Linked DNA regions of Sus scrofa. The protein of the gene in region 1 interacts with the protein of each later gene in a pairwise test. Links are inferred from orthologs where the notes say so. Each region holds a gene or a part of one and is shown in the gene's direction. Other genes may lie near its edges. The genes, in order: SH2 domain-containing protein 4A-like, SH3GL1, FSD2, PPP1CB and TACC1.

The links.
Region 2: the proteins of SH2 domain-containing protein 4A-like (region 1) and SH3GL1 interact in binary tests that used the Homo sapiens proteins (3 or more experiments, as listed by UniProt). The two-hybrid records come from large-scale screens. The link is inferred for Sus scrofa from reciprocal best matches to the Homo sapiens genes SH2D4A and SH3GL1.
Region 3: the proteins of SH2 domain-containing protein 4A-like (region 1) and FSD2 interact in binary tests that used the Homo sapiens proteins (3 or more experiments, as listed by UniProt). The two-hybrid records come from large-scale screens. The link is inferred for Sus scrofa from reciprocal best matches to the Homo sapiens genes SH2D4A and FSD2.
Region 4: the proteins of SH2 domain-containing protein 4A-like (region 1) and PPP1CB interact in binary tests that used the Homo sapiens proteins (3 or more experiments, as listed by UniProt). The two-hybrid records come from large-scale screens. The link is inferred for Sus scrofa from reciprocal best matches to the Homo sapiens genes SH2D4A and PPP1CB.
Region 5: the proteins of SH2 domain-containing protein 4A-like (region 1) and TACC1 interact in binary tests that used the Homo sapiens proteins (3 or more experiments, as listed by UniProt). The two-hybrid records come from large-scale screens. The link is inferred for Sus scrofa from reciprocal best matches to the Homo sapiens genes SH2D4A and TACC1.

Annotation. Positions count from the first base shown.
Region 1 is NW_018084867.1:67,350-71,417, reverse strand, and holds the start of SH2 domain-containing protein 4A-like, read left to right. Parts: upstream 1-1,268; 5' UTR 1,269-1,391; intron 1,392-1,564; exon of another isoform or gene 1,565-1,619; intron 1,620-4,068. UniProt on the Homo sapiens protein: Inhibits estrogen-induced cell proliferation by competing with PLCG for binding to ESR1, blocking the effect of estrogen on PLCG and repressing estrogen-induced proliferation. May play a role in T-cell development and function.
Region 2 is NC_010444.4:74,438,444-74,441,957, forward strand, and holds part of SH3GL1 (endophilin-A2), read left to right. Parts: intron 1-1,616; coding exon 1,617-1,685; intron 1,686-1,992; coding exon 1,993-2,065; intron 2,066-2,874; coding exon 2,875-3,018; intron 3,019-3,431; coding exon 3,432-3,514. UniProt on the Homo sapiens protein: Implicated in endocytosis. May recruit other proteins to membranes with high curvature.
Region 3 is NC_010449.5:52,164,962-52,168,475, forward strand, and holds part of FSD2 (fibronectin type III and SPRY domain-containing protein 2), read left to right. Parts: intron 1-955; 5' UTR 956-1,034; coding exon 1,035-1,676; intron 1,677-2,097; coding exon 2,098-2,193; intron 2,194-3,514.
Region 4 is NC_010445.4:110,443,384-110,446,897, reverse strand, and holds part of PPP1CB (serine/threonine-protein phosphatase PP1-beta catalytic subunit), read left to right. Parts: intron 1-1,291; coding exon 1,292-1,443; intron 1,444-3,514. UniProt on the Homo sapiens protein: Protein phosphatase that associates with over 200 regulatory proteins to form highly specific holoenzymes which dephosphorylate hundreds of biological targets.
Region 5 is NC_010457.5:47,858,291-47,862,473, reverse strand, and holds the start of TACC1 (transforming acidic coiled-coil-containing protein 1), read left to right. Parts: upstream 1-1,369; 5' UTR 1,370-1,486; coding exon 1,487-1,523; intron 1,524-4,183. UniProt on the Homo sapiens protein: Involved in transcription regulation induced by nuclear receptors, including in T3 thyroid hormone and all-trans retinoic acid pathways. Might promote the nuclear localization of the receptors.

The DNA of each region.
Region 1 (4,068 bases):
ATGCCAGAGTCGGAAATGTTTCCACTGAGAGCATGGCCCAAAGGGCAGAAAATAATTCAGGGCCTCGTAATTACATAACAGAGCCCCTTGATGTTTTTTGGAGCAATTTTACCATGTGGAGCATTTGAACTGTAACACATCCTGCATACCTATTGTGTGTCTGGGTGTTGGGTAGGATTCAAACCTTCCTGGGGTAGATTAGTCCTTACTTGATGTTTATGATTTCAAAGAGGTATAAAACATAGAGCTGCTGTAGCAGGCAGTGCTGCAGGGAGGATGGCAATGCAGGCCCTGGCCATCTGTTCCCTGCAGGCCCCCAGTGTCACCACTGGCCTGGCTCCTGGCAAGTGTTCATTAAATGGTTCTCAGATGTGTTAAATGCTCACTTTACAGTTCTTCCACTGCCCATGCAAGAAGTGTTAGGCTTCCTTCAGAGCTGGCCACAGCAGCGAGCCAGGGCCAAATGACACTCCAGCCAGAAAGACCCTAAGGGGCCATTCATTTAATAAGCAGTGGAACCAAACTGAACCAGGAATTCTCCCCAGATAGGATCTCCAGAATAGCCTTTAAATAGCTAGGCAGGAGGACTGACCTCTACCCCAAGGCTCTAACTTCTGTAGTACGGGAAGCCTAGAAATGGGAAGGTTTCATTCTGAAGGAGCAAGTCAGGCAGGCTGCGTGGAAGAGGACCACATCGCAGTCTATAACCTCTCTCCCTGACACCTGCACCATGGGGTCACCAAAGCAGGCTGTTTGCCGCACACATTCTGAACGTTTCCTCTAGAAGGAACATGCCCCCCCAATGTTTCCACGCTGCTTCTACTGAACTTTCCTCCCAGATTTCCTTTTCCCTCCTCGGCCAGCTCCTCCTCCTTCAGCAACCACCCCAACCTGACTTGGCCGCTGCTCTCAGCATTCCTTTTCTTCTGCCCTTCTCTTTGGATTTCTTTCATTTTCTCTCCCCGTCCCCGCTGTCTCCAGTCTCCATCTTTCCAGCTGTTCTCCTCTTTGGTCCTGTCCTCCTACAAAGCCACACCCCTCCGGACAAGTGCCCAAGAGTTTGGTAATTTTCTCAAAGTCAACAACAACAACAACAACAACAACAAAAAGTGAGCTCCAGAGGCGCCAGAACAGAAGTTCAGCCCGCGGAGCGAAGAAAGGCCCGCCCGCCGCCGGCTCAGGCCCCACCTGCCAGGAAGCCTGGTGCCTGGCCGGGATCTCACCACCGTCCGCAGGACGCGCGCGGCGGGACCAGCCCCGGTGCCGCAGGTTCGAACGGACGGGCGGGCTGGGGACGCGCTTGGCTCATGTCGCGGCCGCGTGTCTGTGCAGCCGACTGCTCCTTCTCCTCCCTCGGCACCCGATCAGGCGGCCCAGCCCCGCGCAGGCAGGTGCGGGCCGGGAGGGGCCAGATGCGGCCAGTGAGTGCGGGCGAGCGGGCGGGCGGCGGGGGTGGATGTCCCCGTGGGTTCTGGTCCCGCTGGCGCGCGGCGCGTTCCTCCGCCGGGGGGTCAGGTGCTGGCGGGGCGGGCGGGCGAGTGTCCGGTGTCGGTGTCCGGTGTCGCTGCACCGGCGGGAGAGCAGAGGCGCTGAGGGCCGGCCGGCGGTCGTGGTGAGGGGTACGCGGGCGGCGGGGCGCGCGGGAAGCTCCTGCTGCAGGCGGCCGCGTCCCCCGAGGGGCGCGAGCGGGGCTGCCAGGGAGGAAGCGTGCAGAAGGCCGGCAGTGGCCCGTGGGGGTCGCGGGCGGAGGGAAAGGCCGGGTCTGAGGGCGCTTTCTGCCTTTGAGGGTGCGGGGTGGGGCCCAGGGTGGGCGCGCAGGGCCCAGGGTGGGCGCGCCGCCCCCCGGAAGGCGGACCAGACTGTGGCCGCAGGTGGCCTGGCCGTGACCTTTCCCTGCTCTCTCCCGCCCTCTGGTTCACGCGGGCTCCCCAGAGGTGGCATGAGGGGCAGCGAAGAGGGCAAAACTGTGCAGGTTTGCTCAGAATTGTCTTACCCTCCCAAGAGTCACTGGAAGAGCAAGTGAACTCCCCTCCTCTCTTTCTAAACTTGGAGTCTGCTCACCTCCTAAAAGGCTTTGTTTGATTGCCTGTTTAATAGAAATGACTTGGGATACAATCATTATTTTAAGTGAATAAGTGAGTGAAGGCCTATCCCAGGTACAGATTTGGCATGTGAGAGGAATTTCTGGAGAAATTCACGTACAGCGATTTTTAAATACCTGAAGAATGGTATGTATTTATCAAATTTACCAAACTGCTGTCACCCATGGTAATTTGTTTTATCCTCAAAAATAGCCCTTTTGCAGATAGATTAACAAGGTAAAGTTGAGTAAGAGCATGGAAAGTCTGGAAACAGGGCTTTTTAAAAAGAATTAGAATTCAAACTATGTTTTTAACATTAAAGTACACTGTCCATATTACAATATTTTTATGATTTAGGCGTATCTCTGGTAAAGTAAGATCTCAGAGTCATTCAAAATACAATTCTTGGAGTTCCTGTTGTGGCTCAGTGGTTAAGAACCTGACATAGTGTCCACAGGAGACGGGTTGGATCCCTGGCCTTGCTCAGTGGTTAAGTGAGGATCCTGCATTGCTGCTGCAGCAGCATGGATTGCAGATGCAGCTCTGATTAGACCCCTAGCCTGGCAACTTCCAAATGCCGCCGGTGCAGCTATAAAAAATACCAAAAAATATAATTACTGTTTATAAAACAGTGGCTCTGGGAAATATGGGTGCCATGACCCTTTGAATTTTTGGAAAAAAAATAGCAGATGTGGACTCTTTGCTTGTTGTCATTTCTGTGTTTTAAGAATAGTGCTGCTCAGGAGGAAAAGAGTTAGCTGAGTTTTCCTTTCTACTGGATCTTAAATAACTGGGTAGCACTCAATGAATTGGATACGGAAGTTACCTGTGTTTGATCGTATCAAGCACTGATTGTCAGGGAAACCAGGGGAAACCCCTGGTTGGTTAATTTCCTTGTTTCTGTTTCCGCTGACCCAGCCCCACTTGCGTCTGGAACTCCGCACTATAATGTAGTGTATTCCTAAGATGACAAAGATTCAAGTTCAGGCTCATTTCGTGGCAAGGAGACTGAGTCCGAGGAAGGGAAGTGACAACGCAAACATCCACAGCTCAGGAGAGGCAGAGCTGTGAGCCGAGAGCTTCCTGTGCTGTGTTTGAGGAAGGAGTTCCGTTCACGCTGGTGGGTGTTCACAGCCTCCGAGTGGCATGCATATTATTCAGCCTCACCCCACAGAAAGGTTGTAAACTATGTTCCCAAGTTTCCCCTGAGGACAGGGGGAGGCCAGTGTCTTTCCTTCAAGATCCACTTTAACGTCAAAAATCTATTTGTTGCAAAAGGCAAAACGGCACAAAATCGCAGCTGTGAGGTCTTGACTGTGTCCCTTCCTGCCATCCTTCTGCCCCCTGCCCCCAGTGCTGCTCTTGGGGGTGGTAGGAGGGGGACTGAGGAGGCTCAATACTCAGTGACTGACTGGGCATCAGTATCTGCGCCTGCGCCAACATGACGTCACTTCCCGCCATCTTTCCGGGGTGAGGGCTTTTCAATGCCCAGCGTCCCCAAAGCCCACCTGCAGTTACAGAGATGAGGCTTCTGCCTCCCAAGAAGGACCCTGCCTCATGTACCTTCGGTTCACCGTTTCCGCTGCCTCTAGAATTTGCTGGTTTTCATTCTGAAACTTCACCCGTGGGGCCTCATCCTGATGATGTTCTGATTCTGGGCTCACGGAGAAAACCTCCTGCAGTGACGTGGAGCCAAACCGCCCAGTGCCGCCCCTTTCCATCTTCTGTGAAATGGGCAGAGGGAGGGACTGAACACCAAGGTTATGGTGAAGGTTCATAAGTTACTGCATGTGCAGGGCTCAAGGTGGTGGCTGCCCAGCAGGAGTCAGCGCTTGTCACCAGTGCTGGAGGGAGGGGGCGCTGTGAAGGTGGCACGTGCCAAGTTGTAGTTTTTAGGCTCTCCCCACACCGTCGGTGTTGCTGTCACCCAATTCAAAATGGGGAACAGAGTAGAAGTTTCCAGCTTCCCTGAGCAGCTCCTTCTCCA
Region 2 (3,514 bases), on another chromosome or scaffold:
CCCAGGTGCCAGAGTGAGGGCGGCCCTGCACATAGATGCCTGTGGAGCTGTCAGGGCTCCCAGGGGAGGCAGAAAGGTGACACTCCTGGGGGGCTGGAAGAGGCTATGGGGTCTGCCTGTGCCCTTGCCCCTCAGGGGACATGGTGCCTGCCAGCAGGGGCTGCTCCCTGGGAGCACCTGTGCTCCCTGCACTGAGCAGGCCCTCGGCCCGGAAGGTGTGGTTTTTGAGCCCTGGCGCCTCGGCTGCCCTTTGAGTTCACCAGAAGAGTCTAGTCTCACGTCAGGCAGCTAACTCATTTCCCTCTGTGGCAACCACCGAAGCTGAGAACGTCCTGTTTTACCATAATCAAAAGAAGTGAAACCATGCCATGAAATAAAGTGGAACGCCCTAAAAACACCTAGGAGAGACCAGTGTCTTTCCTTATAAAGTCAGAACCAGGAGGGCAGCCCCTGCCTACCTTGGAGGTCCCTCAAAGGCTGGGGCATGACTGAGTGGGCCCTGAGCCAGCCCTGCTTCCTTCCTGTGCCCCCACCGCAGGGTCTCATCTCTCATCTGTGCCCCCCACCCCATCCCCTCCTAGGCTCCTGACACGTAGCCATTGTGAGAACACTTGACTCACAGGGACATGCAGGTTCGGGGTGACAAAGACCTGTAGGCCAGGCCTGCCCTGCAGTTCTGTGCTCCACTTGGAGGACCAAGATGCCCAGGGAGAATAACAGCAGTCATGGGTGTGGGCAGGGGGAGTACCCTGAGCACACATGCGCATGCAGCGCCCACGAAGCCTGGCCACAGCCCTACGAGTGCACACCTGTCACTCCACTTTATAGAAGCAAAAACTGAGGCCCAGCGAGGCTGATTGCCCAAGACCACACAGATAGAAGGCAGTGGACCAGTTGTTGAACGATAGTGGTCCGACACTCCTGTCAGCTGGTGGGCCCCTTGGTGCCCTTAGCCCCGGGAGCTGTCCTCACAGGTGGCTGCCAGGAAGTTTCATGTGCATGGGTTCACACACATGCTCACACACATGCATGAAAAGTCACTTCCAGGCACCACAGTAGTTGGCTTCTGTCGGGCAGGTCTTTCCCTCTTGCTCAGCGCTTGTCCCACACGCAGTCTGCATGTTTGTTCAGCCTCGGAACCTGCTTGCCTCTCGGGGCGCCCCTGGGGAATGCAGACCCACAGTCCGAGATTCCTTCCCAGAGAGGCAGGACTTCAGGGTCACGGTTCCCTGAATGAAAGGGCTTCTGTGAGCATGGGTGCCTCAGCCCTGTGAGAGGACATCACTGGGCCATGGTTGGGCCCAGGCAGGTCTGCACAACCCAGAGACTGGGGAACATTGTGGAGCCGCCATTGCGGCATAACAAGGTAGCTCGGCCAGGGACGGCTTCCAGCAGGAAGAGCCCCCTGCCCTGGGTTTCCAGGAGCATGCAGATTTGGGGGGGGTGGGTATCGTTCAGCCCCTCATTTTGCCATTGGCTGCCACATTCAGTCTCCCTGGGAAGCCATGGTAGATGTCCTGAGCCCCTGCCCTGCTTCCCTTCAGTGGACAGGGCAGGAAGGCATCCTGGAGTCTCCTCCCCTGAGGCTCACACACTTTTCCTCCTTTGTCCCCCAGCTGGTCAGCGAGAAGGTCGGAGGGGCTGAAGGGACCAAGCTTGACGATGACTTCAAGGAGATGGAGAAGGTAATGGGAGAGGTGGTGCCCGTCTCATGCCTGGCAGTGTTACCAACCCCCATAGGGCCTGCCCCTGACAGCTGGCGGGAGGCCAGGCTCACCAGGAGGGTCTAGGCGGGTCACAGGGCTCCCCTAGTCCTGGGCAGGCAGTGGTGAGGGCATAGCATGGCCAACAACACGGAGGCCAGGGAGCCCCCAGAAGCAGCGGGCAGTTCTTGTGTGGGCTCTAAGCAGGGCAAGAGCTGTCCAGGGGCTCCTGGTTTGGCCTCGGGTGCCCCGGCAGTTTCAAAACCCCACACATGGCCTCTCTCTACAGAAGGTGGATGTTACCAGCAAGGCTGTGACAGAAGTGTTGGCCAGAACCATCGAGTACCTGCAGCCCAACCCAGGTAGGGGCCAGCCTGCTGTGAGGGGTCTGACCCCAACTCTTTGAGCTCTCTGTCGGGAATCTTCCAGTCACCAGAACATGAAGAAGGAATGTATGGGCCCACAGAATTGAGATGCCCAGGGATAGGCAGGTTCAGGCATGGCTGGATCCAGGCATCCAAAGGATGTCCTCAGGGCCCTGCCTTTCCCTTCTGTGTCATCTGTCAGCTCTCATTTCTCACAACAGTCCTAGCCTTAAACTGTCCTTACAGCTAATGGTCCCAGTAGAAAGAGTATCTTTTTACCCCCACCTAACCCAATTTGAATCAAGTATCAGGCCCCAGCCACATGCCTACCTTTGGAGCATGAGGTGGGGCCTTCTCCCCAAGGAAAATCCAAATTCTGGTTTGCAGTGAAAGGTGACAGATGCAGGACAGCAGCAAAGGCAGCAGTGTCCCCTGAGGCCTGTGCCGGGACAGACTGGAGCTAGCAGAGGCTCAGGCACAGCACACACACCCCTACCCCCCTCTGGGCAGAGACCTGTGCTGGGGCCACCTGTACCTGTCTGCACCTACACCTACCTGCCCTGCTTCTCTGGGGGCCTCAAGGAGCCAGTCACCTCTCCTGACCACTGCCAGTGCTCCTTTGTGCACGTGAGAGCAGAGGAGGGGAAGTCTGTTCAGGGGTTCTTCTCATATTCCTGTTCCTCAGCCCAAGGGAGTGCTTTAGAAATAAATACCCAGGCAGAGGTGGGTAGCTGGTGGTACTGGCAAGCACAGGCCTGGTGGCTCAAGAGACCACCTGCACACCCACCCGGTCCGTCCTCTTCCAGCCTCTCGGGCCAAGCTGACGATGCTCAACACGGTGTCCAAGATCCGTGGGCAGGTGAAGAACCCCGGCTACCCGCAGTCAGAAGGCCTGCTGGGCGAGTGCATGATCCGCCACGGGAAGGAGCTGGGTGGCGAGTCCAACTTCGGTGAGGCCGAGGGAAGGCTGGAGTGGGGAGGGCCTGAGAACATGGGGCAACAGCATCTCTGCGCAGCGGGCAGGCTGGCCCTTCCCCCATAGCTCCAAGGTCTTCTCCAGGGCTGGCTAGTCCTCTGGACGAGGGCGGTGAAGCTCCTGAGAAAGCCCCTCTGGTCCACAACAGGTGCTGCCTACAGTATCATGGCTGTGGGGAGGCCACCCTCCCACCACAGCTGGGTCAGGGCAGACCTGGGTGCCTTTGAAGAGGTGGGAAGGTAGCTTGTGAACACCCATCATCACCAGCCCCTGTGGCTCTGTGTCAGATTTCAGGGTCCCTTGTTCTCAATTCTGGCGTCCAGGTCCTTGGCATGGGGTATCTCAACCCTAGGGGCCAAGGCCTCCTGTGACAGCTTCCTCCCCCAGGTGATGCCCTGCTGGACGCCGGGGAGTCCATGAAGCGCCTGGCTGAGGTGAAGGACTCCCTGGACATAGAGGTCAAGCAGAAC
Region 3 (3,514 bases), on another chromosome or scaffold:
TTTTATACAGGTAATATTACATGCAAAAGAAATTATTTTGTGACTTGTCATTGCTCAGTAATCTATTGAGATTTCTTCTTTTCAATTAATTTATATAATTTGCTTATTAATAATTGCCTGAGACAAGCCCATTATTTGGCTTTTGGAGATTTTTAGGTTTTTTAAGTACATAGGAGTTGTTTGTTAGTGAAATCAATTTACAGATTTTTTTTTTCCGTAATTTCTCCTCTTTGACGCTTAGGAAGCCTGTCCACCCATAAAAAAAAAAACCTATTTATTTATTTATTTGTCTTTTTGCCTTTTCTAGGGCTGCTCCCTTGGCATATGGAAGTTCCCAGGCTAGGGGTCTAATCGTAGCTGTAGCTACTGGCCTCCACCACAGCCACAGCAACTCAGGATCTGAGCCACATCTGCGACCTACACCACAGCTCACGGCAACGCCGGATCCTTAACCCACTGAGCAAGGCCAGGGATCAAACCCACAACCCCACTGTTCCTAGCTGGATTCATTAACCACTGAGCCACGATGGGAACTCCTTTATTTATTTATTTATTTATTTAATTTTTGTCTTTTTTAGGGCCACACTCTCGGCATATGGAAGTTCCCAGGCTAGGGGTCGTTTCGGAGCTATAGCTGCTGGCCTACAACATAGCCACGGCAACTTGGAATCCAAGCTGCATCTGTGACCTACACTATAGCTCACAACGCCGGATCCATAACCCACTGTGCAAGGCCAGGGACTGAACCTGCGTCCTCATAGATCCTAGTCAGGTTCATTACCACTGAGCCACAACGGGAGCTTCAAAAACAAATCTTTCTTTATAGATCACTTAAAGTGAAACTACAACTAAGATGCTTGGATGATTTTTTTTTTCTAAAAAATTGTGGATGAGTTGAGCCCAATCTAATAACCATCTAGTGCACTGACCTCAGAAATGGGGTTTTCTGTTCTAGGACCCAGGATATCTATTAATAACTGTCCAAAAAGAAACCTTCCTGTGCAGAGGGGCTGCCCCGAGCATCCAGAGCCACGATGGAAGAGGAAGCAGGTGAGGCCCCGGGGCTGGGCAGGCCCGCTGCTCCTAAGGATTTCCACTTTTATCACGTGGATCTGTACGACTCTGAAGACAGACTGCAGATCTTCCCGGAAGGAAACGCTCGGATGCGAAGAGAGGTAGTCCAGGCTGAAATGACCAACGAACCAAGAGCAGCCGTGAAAGGGAAGGCTCCGAGAGACCTTGAAGAAGAAGTGGATGAACTTGTCCATCTTTACGGACTTGAAGATGATCATGAATTAGGCGATGCATTCGTTGACGAAAGCATGCCCAGAATAGAGGTTTCAGAGTATCCTCCTTATGGGATGACGGGGAGAGAAGCAGCCAGGGAGCAGAGAGACTGGAGACTTAGCGGGGAGGAGGCTAATGCAGAGGACCTGGGCTTGGGGGGCTGGGGCTCGGCGGACCAGTGCCAGGACTTGCGGGAAGCCTATAGGTATACCCATGGCCGTGCCAGTGAGGAGTATGAATGCTACGTCATCCCAGAGGAGGAAGACGAGGATGAAGCTGCGGATGTCTTCTGTGTCACCTGCAAAACACCAGTCAGAGCTTTGGAGGTTTCTGATGAACACAAGGAACATGAGGTAACCCCACTCCATAAAGCACTGGAAAGCGCCAAGGTAAATAGATCTCCTTAGTTCTTCTTGCTCTTGATATTGCATTTCTATCTCAAGGGTGTAGGGAGGATATGAATCTAAAATGCCTTCCACTGTAGTTCCCATTGTGGCTCAGGGGAAACGAATCCAACTAGAAACCATGAGGTTGCGGGTTCTATCCCTGGCCTTGCTCAGTGGGTTAAGGATCGGGCGTTGCCATGAGCTGTGGTGTAGGTCACATACATGGCTCAGATCCTTTGTTGCTGTGGCTGTGGCATATGCCAGCAGCTGTAGCTCCAATTCGACCACTAGGCTGGGAACCCTCATATGCTGTGGGTGCAGCCCTAAAAAGCAAAAAAATAAAAATAAAAATAAAATGCCTTCTACAAAAGAGAGAGAGAAAAGACAGAGCATTAATGCCTTCTTGGGATCCTTTGTTTAATAGGACGAAATTCACAAAAACATGTACAAACTGGAAAAGCAGATTATTGAGATGGAAAATTTTGCAAGTCACTTGGAGGAGGTTTTCATCACTGTGGAGGTAAGAGCACACCTGACGACGCTGTCAGACACACATGTCATTTCCATCGGGGGTGGGGTCAGCAGCTGTGTCTGGCACCAGTTAGAGAATCTGTTTTCTTGGAATGTATCGAGTCAGTACTGCCCCTCTCCCCTCACCCTTCTTTCTGCCCTCCCGTAGCATGGTGGGCGTATACCTATGGCAACATTCCCTAATGAACTGTCAGCTCTCCTGGGGAGGCTGAGTCTTCGATGTCTTTATATCCCCATTCCTGCTATAAGGTTGGACTCTTTCATGGCCAGCCTATTAAGGCATTGCAAGACACCCAGGCTGTTATGACTAAGTGTTCTTTTCCTTTCTTTACCTATTTCTTCCAAGATTAATAATGTTTCTGTGGAGTTCCCGTCATGGCGCAGTGGTTAACGAATCCGACTAGGAACCATGAGGTTGCAGGTTTGGTCCCTGCCCTTGCTCAGTGGGTTAAGGATCCAGCATTGCTGTAAACTGTGATGTAGGTTGCAGACGCGGCTTGGGTCCCGAGTTGCTGTGGCTCTGGCGTAGGCTGGCAGCTACAGCTCTGATTAGACTCCTAGCCTGGGAACTTCCATATGCCGCTGGAGTGGCCCAAGAAATAGCAAAAAGACAAAAAAAAAAAATAATAATAATAATGTTTCTGTGCTGGCACCAAACACATTCCCTGGGTGTGCCCAGGAAGTGTATACACTGCTGTGTGTGCACTGCCAGCACTCAACCTAGCCATCCAGATGGACAGACCAGGACTAAGGACCATAGGACTTCCTGTGTCCCCTCTCTTCACAGGGATGCTCTACTTCTATGAAGGCAGCCTTGGGGTGTATCAACCGGAGCACCTCACGGAGCCCTGGGCCCCTTTCCCCTGAAGCTAGACTTTCCTCCCCATCCCAACCTTCTAACTTTTTTTTGTCTTTTGTCTTTTTAGGGCCGCACCCATGGCATATGGAGGTTCCCAGGCTAGAGGTCGAATTGGAGATACAGCCCCTGGCCTATGCCACAGCCACAGCAATGCAGGATCTGAGCCGTGTCTGTTACCTGTGCCATACCTCATGGCAATGCTGGATCCTCAACCCATTGAGCAAGGCCAGGGATGGAACCCACGTCCTCATGGGTACTATTCGGGTTTGTTAACCACTGAGCCATAATGGGAACTCCCCACCCCCAATCTTAAAAGGGAGGAGAACTATTGCACTAATTCCCTATGGAAGGCAGAGGAAGGTCAAACCCTTCCATGTCTAAGCACAGGCGGATGGAGGTAGAAGGGTAAGTAGACAACTCCCTTGCTCAGTACTGCCAGCTCGCTCTCAGC
Region 4 (3,514 bases), on another chromosome or scaffold:
TTTTCATTGCACTTGTAACTTAAAGCATTTCCTACTTCTAGATAATTAACCTTTCAGGAGATCCTAATATTCTAATCCTTTCCTTTTGTGTTTACTATTCCTTCTCAATATTTTTTGCCCATTCCTTCTCTGCTTGCTTATGAAGTGTTTGATTCCTCAGAGTTCTTTTCCTGGTCTTCTCAGTTTACATTCCCAAGATGGTCTCAGTCCCTTCTAAGATTTACATTCCTATTAGTTTGATAAAGATCTTTAGATAAATATTTTTTTAGCTCTGACCTTTTTTTAATCCAAAAACATTACTAAAGTCAGGGATCTACTCTGATTTTGTTCCTCTGTACTTTATTTAAATCCTCCAGGCCTTTGTAGAAAATGTTTTCTTCCCTCAAAATGATCTATAAATCAGATGTAGTTCCAGTGAAATTTAAATTGGATTTACAGAATTAGACAAACTGATTCGCAAGTTTATATGTGGAAGAACAAAGGATTAAAAGTAACCAAGACAATCCTGAAGAAAAATATTAAGTGGGGATAAACCCACCACACATAAAGATTTATTTAAAAGGTCTAGTGTGTTACTGGCTCAGTGATAAAGTAGATTAATGGAATAGACTATGGCACCAGAAACAGTATAAGTAGCTCTCTAAGGAAAGGATGAACTATTAAGGGAAATATTGCTGGGTCACTTGGTTATCCATAGGGAAAAACTAGAGACAAGATGAACAGCCTTTTCAAACATCATATGCTTAGAGTGTGCCATACACATATTTCTTTTCTTTTTTTTTTTTTCTTTTTTTTGTCTTTTTTTGTCTTTTTGCCATTTCTTGGGCCACTCCCGTGGCATATGGAGGTTCCCAGGCTAGGGGTCTAATTGGAGCTGTAGCTGCCAGCCTATGCCAGAGCCACAGCAACACAGGATCTGAGCCGTGTCTGCAACCTACACCACAGCTCACGGCAGCACCAGATCGTTAACCCACTAAGCAAGGGCAGGGATCACACCCACAACCTCATGGTTCCTAGTTGGATTCGTTAACCACTGTGCCACGACGGGAACTCCAAGTGTGCCATACACATATTTCTTATATCTGGAAAGCTTTGGAGAGTACTGCCTTTAAAGCCAGGCAACATTGTATTTGCATGGTTACTTTAACAAAAAACTGGCTGAGTTGGATAGGCCGGGATACTATCCCAGGGGGCAAATGATTATTACTGTTTATTACAGAAGAAATGGGATATAGATATGCTTTATTTTACAAATATTGTTTTTTCATTGCTGTGCTTTGATTCTTTAAAGGTTTGCTCTGTGATTTGCTGTGGTCTGACCCAGATAAGGATGTGCAAGGTTGGGGAGAAAATGACCGTGGTGTTTCCTTCACTTTTGGAGCTGATGTAGTCAGTAAATTTCTGAATCGTCATGATTTAGACTTAATTTGTCGAGCTCATCAGGTATGAAATACAAAAACTTTTGGGTATTTTGATATTTTCAACTTCACCTAGGTCTACTCCTTTTATTTTTGAGGAAATTTGAGATCTAAGAAAGCTAATTACACAAGGAAAGCAGTAGAAGAGATTATACCTTGATCTCACAAGTAACAATGTAATGATTTTATTAACCCTTTCCACCCTCTAAGAGGAAAGGTTTCAACAGTAGTAGATTACAACACTAACATTTTTCAGTGCTTGTCTGAAGCTTTCTAGAACTATTTGATCCCATTTTAATATGATAGTTAGATATAATAGATAACAATCAAATGAATTATGTGGATTTTGGTAAGAACAAACCACACTATAGAGAGACATTTTGAGATAATTAGGAAATTTTTCAATTATAGACTGAGTATTAGATATTGGGGAGTCATTGCTAGTTATTTTAACTGTGATGATAGCATATTGCTATGTAAAAAGGATGTCCCATATTTTTCAGAGTTGCATGCTCAAGTATGTAGGGGTGAGAGGATGTGTCTAGGATTTGTTTTAAAATATATCAGAGTTTCTGTTGTATCAGCAAATCATCTATTTGTATCAGCGGAAACAAATCCAACTAGTTTCTCTGAGGACTCAGGTTCAATCCCTAGCCTCACTAGTTGGTTAAGGATATCCAGTGTTGCTGTGAGCTGTGGTCTAGGTCGTGGATGCAACTTGGATCTGGTATTGCTGTGACTATGGTGTAGGCTGGCAGCTGCAGCTCTGAGTCAACCCCTAGTCTGAGAACTTCCATATGCTGCAGGTGCAGCCCTAAAAAGCAAAATAAAAATATATCAGCAAAGCAAAGGGGTAAATGAAATAAATGTAACAAAGTCTTCGTAATTATTGAATCAGGGTGATGAGTAATTGAGAGTTTATTGAACTCCTCCTTATCTACTTTTGTGTTTATTTGAATTTTCATTTTAAAAAATACATGTACGGGAGTTCCCTGGTGGCTCAGCAGCTTAAGGATACGGCATTGTCACTGTGGTGACGGTTTGATCCCTGGCGTGGGAAGTTCTGCATACCTCGGATACAGACAGAGAACAAAAACAGGATATATGTACAACTTAGGATTTGGTTTGGTTTCAATGTCCTCCTTCATCACTAGATTGTACACTCTTCAAGGAGGTGAACAGTTTAATATATCAAACTCTCACAGTCCTAAACCATAGCTGGTATGAAATACATTGAAAAGTATTTTTTTCAAATCTTTTGAAGTTACTTTTTAAAGTATTTTACATTTGTAAGTATAATATTTAAAGTTTCTTTGTTAAAGCAAAATATATTAACAACAAATATATGCTGTTCTACAGTACTCCCCTTTTTAAGGGGCTTTGCTCCCCCGTAACCCTGGATTGATTACTTCTGCCTCTTTATGTGCTCCTATGTGATAACGAAGATGACAGGCTTTTGTTGTTTTTGCTTTTGGTTTTAGGGCTGCAGTCATGGCATAGGAAAGTTCCCAGGCTAGGGCTAGAATAGGCCACAGCCACAGCAACACCACATTCAAGCCACGTCTGCAACCTATACCACAGCTCATGGCAGCTCTGGATTCTTAACCCACTGAGTGGGGCCAGGGATCAAACTCGCATCCTCATGGATGCTAGTCAGATTCGTTGCTGCTGAGCCACAATGGGAACTCCATAACAGACTTCTTATTTTCTGCATATGTTTTATGCTTTTTTCCTATTAGAATTTCATACTTTAATTGAAATGAAGTCATGTCCCTATATCCTTTGCTTTTGGCAAAATTGTCTTTTAATCAATGAACAATGTGTTTATAATTTAGACAATTAAGATGTCTTCCATAAGATAACAGGGCAGAGTTGCTGAGTTTCTTTAAAAAAATACTGATAGTCACTTTTTCAGCTATAGATCTCCATTCAGTTGTCTTTTCAAAAATTGGTGATGATTTTTAAAAGTCAGGTTATTGAACTACCCTTAATTTGCATGGTCTTTTTCTGTTCTGCTTGTTTTCAAACAAATTATCCCTAAAATTAAGAGACTTATGATGGGAAATAATGCAAACTACAAATATTTACTTTTTAAA
Region 5 (4,183 bases), on another chromosome or scaffold:
CACCTTCCTTTAATAAATAGAACAGAGATGTTCTAATTCCCTGTTTGTGGACAAATTTTCCAGTTAGAACTGTGAAAACCACTGAGTTTTATTGCAGGGGTCCATGAGGATCCCAAGTTTCATTGCATTTGATAGTTCACAGACAAGCCACTTACCAGGCCATCAGCAACAACTGAATCAGGATCCCCTTGCACCTCCTGTACCTCCAACTCAGCATCTCCAAGAATCACAATGAGGAATCTTCCTGCTTCATTTCTGGGGGCTGAGGAGGCAGTTTGTAGTGGGAACTGGATCCCATTTGTGATAGCCAATTCCTGCGCTTCCATCATGGAAAGACCTAGAACTGGAGAGGGCCAGGAAAATCATCAATTCCCCTCCCTGCCATGCAGCACATGCCCTACACTGTGGGTAGAGGTGTGCACGTGGGGAAGGCTGGCCCCAGGCAGGACTCTATGAACCCACAGGACATTTTCACTGCCATCTTTATCAATTATTATTATTTTTGTCTTTTTTTGCCCCCTCCCACAACAATGGAAGTTTCCAGGCCAGGGATCAAACCTGTGCCACAACAGTGGCAACGCCAGATCCTTAACCTGCTGAGCCACCAGGGAACTCTGTTATTATTTTCCAATTAGAAGAGGGAGAAGAAAAACAAACAAACAAACCAGTCAAGGAGTTCCTGCTGTGGCACAACAGGGTGGATGGTGTCTCTGCAGTGCCAGGACATGGGTTCATCCCCAGCCAGTCACAGTGGATTAAAGGATCCAGCATTGCCACAGCTATGATGTGGGTCACAACTGCGGCTGGCATCTGAGCCCTGGCCCAGGAACTCCATATGCCAAAAAAAGAAAAAAACAAACAAGACAAACAGCCAAGAGGGATGTGGGTGTGTATATTTCTTGGAATCCAGAGGTTGGGGGTGGGGGTGGGGAGTGATCCATCAAAAATGTTTCTAGTACAAAAGCTGGCAAAACAAATCTCTCTCTCTCTCTCTTTTTTTTTTTTTTTTTTTTTAATCTGAACTGTGTAACAGGAGAAATTCTCTCACAAGGGGAGAGTATTCCTGAGCCAAGTTTAGGCCGAGGAAAAATTTTCCAGCTTGTGAGGAACGAAGCTGACGTTACATTAAGGAGGAAAAAAAATAGTGCTGGAGGAAAAGAGGAAGGGGGGAAAAGGCACCAGGCTTCAAACAGAGGAGCTTTAAATTCCAGATGGGACCACAGATCAGAGAGCTAGGAGGCTGCAGCGATTTCTCCGTGGGGCTCCCAGACCCAGTGGACATTTCCTGTTCTGCCCCTGAACGTTCAAGCCAAAACTTTACAAAACATCCTTTTCCCTAGAACCAAGTGTTTGGTTCGGAGACCCACCCCTCCCCACGTCGGTGATCTCAGAGCCTGCCCTCCCCTTCCTTTCTCGGAACCGCTCCCTGATCAGGGGCGTCAGCTTCCCAGCAGAGGTGATGGAGCCACTGTAGCAGGTGGTGCCAATGGGAGAGAGGAGACCCGGGGACCACCGCCTACGAGGTAGGAACGGGGGCTGCGTGTGCTTGGGTTGTCTGACACTTACGGAGCAAAGCAGAGCCCTTGACCTTTAAGCTCGGGCTGGGGGCGTTTTCTTGACGATGGGACAGTGCTGTGGGTGAGTGGACGCCAGGGACGTCAGGCATTTCTTTCCTCTCTTTCTTTCCAATTTTAACTTTAATTCTTGGGTCTCTGGAAGCACTACCTCTTGTTTGCCTTCTGATGTAGAAGTGTTAGGGTAGAATTCTGGGAATTCCCTGACTTCTTTGTTTCTTTTTCTTTTTCCTTTTCTTTTGGTGGGCAAGGAGTCAAGGAGCATTTGTAAATACCTTCAGCTCTGAGTAGATTCAGAGAGAAGTGATCCAAATGGATGCAGAAGGAAAAGGCATTTTCACCTTGGTGAGCTGTGGTCCAGCTGTTTCCCAGGACCTGTGTCCTGCCCACCAAACTCCCTCCTCCTCCCCGCATCATGGGAATACACACCTTGAGCTGTTTCTCAGGTGTGGGGATGTGAGACTGGAGCTCAATGCTACGCCTTTATGGGCAGAGCCCAGGTGCCCTTGGAGACATCCACGTCTGTGGCGGAGCTAACTGGTCAACCCTGAAGGCTGCATGTGGCCCTCGCCATCATTAGGGACATGCCCCAGCAGTTCGTCCCTGAGAGGCTAGCCTTGGCAGCACCTGCTGACACTGAACTGATACAGAGAATGCAGCATGGCTTCTGCACAAGTACTCAGATTTTTATCATAAACGAACCATTTCAAATGCCCCTTCTCTGAACTCCAATGGTCCTTCTCTAGAGCACACATTTTGCTCCTTATGCACCTATCACCTTGCTGTACTGTTCTCTAACAAGCTAAACAAATGAGAGAATGGATGGGATGCATGAGTCGTAATCTATTTCTTGGTGATCTTAAGATAGCAACTAACTCTTGTTGAGCACAGACTGTGTGCCGGCACCATTCTAAAGGTGGTGGGTATTATCATCATCATCCCCATTTTACAGATGGGGAAACTGAGGCTGGAGACACACCTAATAAATGCAGAGGAGGGATCTGTACTGAGGCCAGGCTGCCCTGCTCCAAACCAAGGTGGGGGTTTGACTCTCGGTCCCCATATTCTCCAGCTGCGTGACTTCAGACAAGGTGAATGTCCTCAGCCCGTTTCCTCATCTGTCAAATGAGACAATAATAACCCCAGCTCACAGACGTGTTGTAAGAGATAAATGAATTTTAAAAGATTATTTTACTGAAGCAGGCGAACAATGTTGACAGATCTTCCCAACCCTGGCAGTGTGAAGTACAAATGTAGAGCTGAAAACCCTCAGGGTTCTGTAGGAGGTAGCCATAGTGCCATGTCAGGGTTTGTGCCTTAACAAGGGACATTAGCATTCATATACCAGCAGGTGCAGGCCTGTAGCTGCCAGCTCGGTTGACTCTAAGCTCCTTCAGGGCTGGGTTCCTCTCATATACAGATCTGCAATCATGGATTTGACCAACTTTGGACCAAGAAAATAAAGTAAAATAAAATTCCAAAATTTCCAAAAAGCAAAACTTGAATTTGCCCTGCAATTATTGACATAGCATTTACATTTGTATTTACAACTATTCACATGTATTAGCTTTTATAAGTCATCGAGAGATGATTTAAAGTATAAGAGAGGATGTGTGTTGGTTCTGGGCGAATACTATGTCATTTTATATAAGGGACTTGAATGTAGGTAGGTTTTGGTGTCAGTGGGCCTCCTGGAACAAATCCCCCATGCCCAGGGAAACTCAGGGACCACTTTGTTTCTCTTAAAAACGAGATGTTTCTCAGAGTTCCCTAGTGGCTGAGTTGGTTAAGGATCTGGTATTGTCACTGCTGTGGCTCTGGTTACTGCCATAGCATGGGTTCGATCCCTGGCCCTGGAACTTCTGCATGCCAAGGCTGCAGCCAAAAAAGGAAAAAAAAAAAGAAAAAAAGAAAAATGTTTCTTGAACTGTGCTCTAAGGCCCTCCTTGCTCTTCAGATGTAGGATCCCCCTTGGGGAGGAGGTCAACAAGGGGCCCCGTGGATGCTCCCGCAGCCTCCTCTTCCCGCTCGCAACAAGGCATCTCCATCTTTACCTGACTGACTTATTGGGGTGCCCCGTTAAAAGGAAGATTTGAAAACCACGTTCAGAATGACTAATGGGGAGCAGGTGATGTGTCCAGGCTGAAAACAACTGTTTACAGAGCAGGGTTGATTTTTCTAGCTCAGCCCTGTCTAGGCTCTTCCTTGGCCCTCCCTTAGCCTCCTACTTAATGAGCTTCTCCTGCCCTGGAGAACCCACAGGAGGCATGTGCCAGGCGGGCTCAGGAGGTGAGCTCTTCCATCTCAGGCAGCCCATCCCTGGGGACAGGGACAGACAAGTGGCAGGGCCCCAGAGAGCTTCTGTTCCAACCTGGACTCTCTCTCCCTCTTTTTTAAATTTTTTTTTTTTTTTGGTCTTTTTGCTATTTCTTGGGCCGCCCCCGCGGCATATGGAGGTTCCAGGCTAGGGTCCAATCGGAGCTGTAGCCACCAGCCTACGCCAGAGCCACAGCAACTCGGGATCCGAGCCGCGTCTGCAACCTACACCACAGCTCACGGCAACGCCGGATCGTTAACCCACTGAGCAAGGGCAGGGACCGAACCCGCAA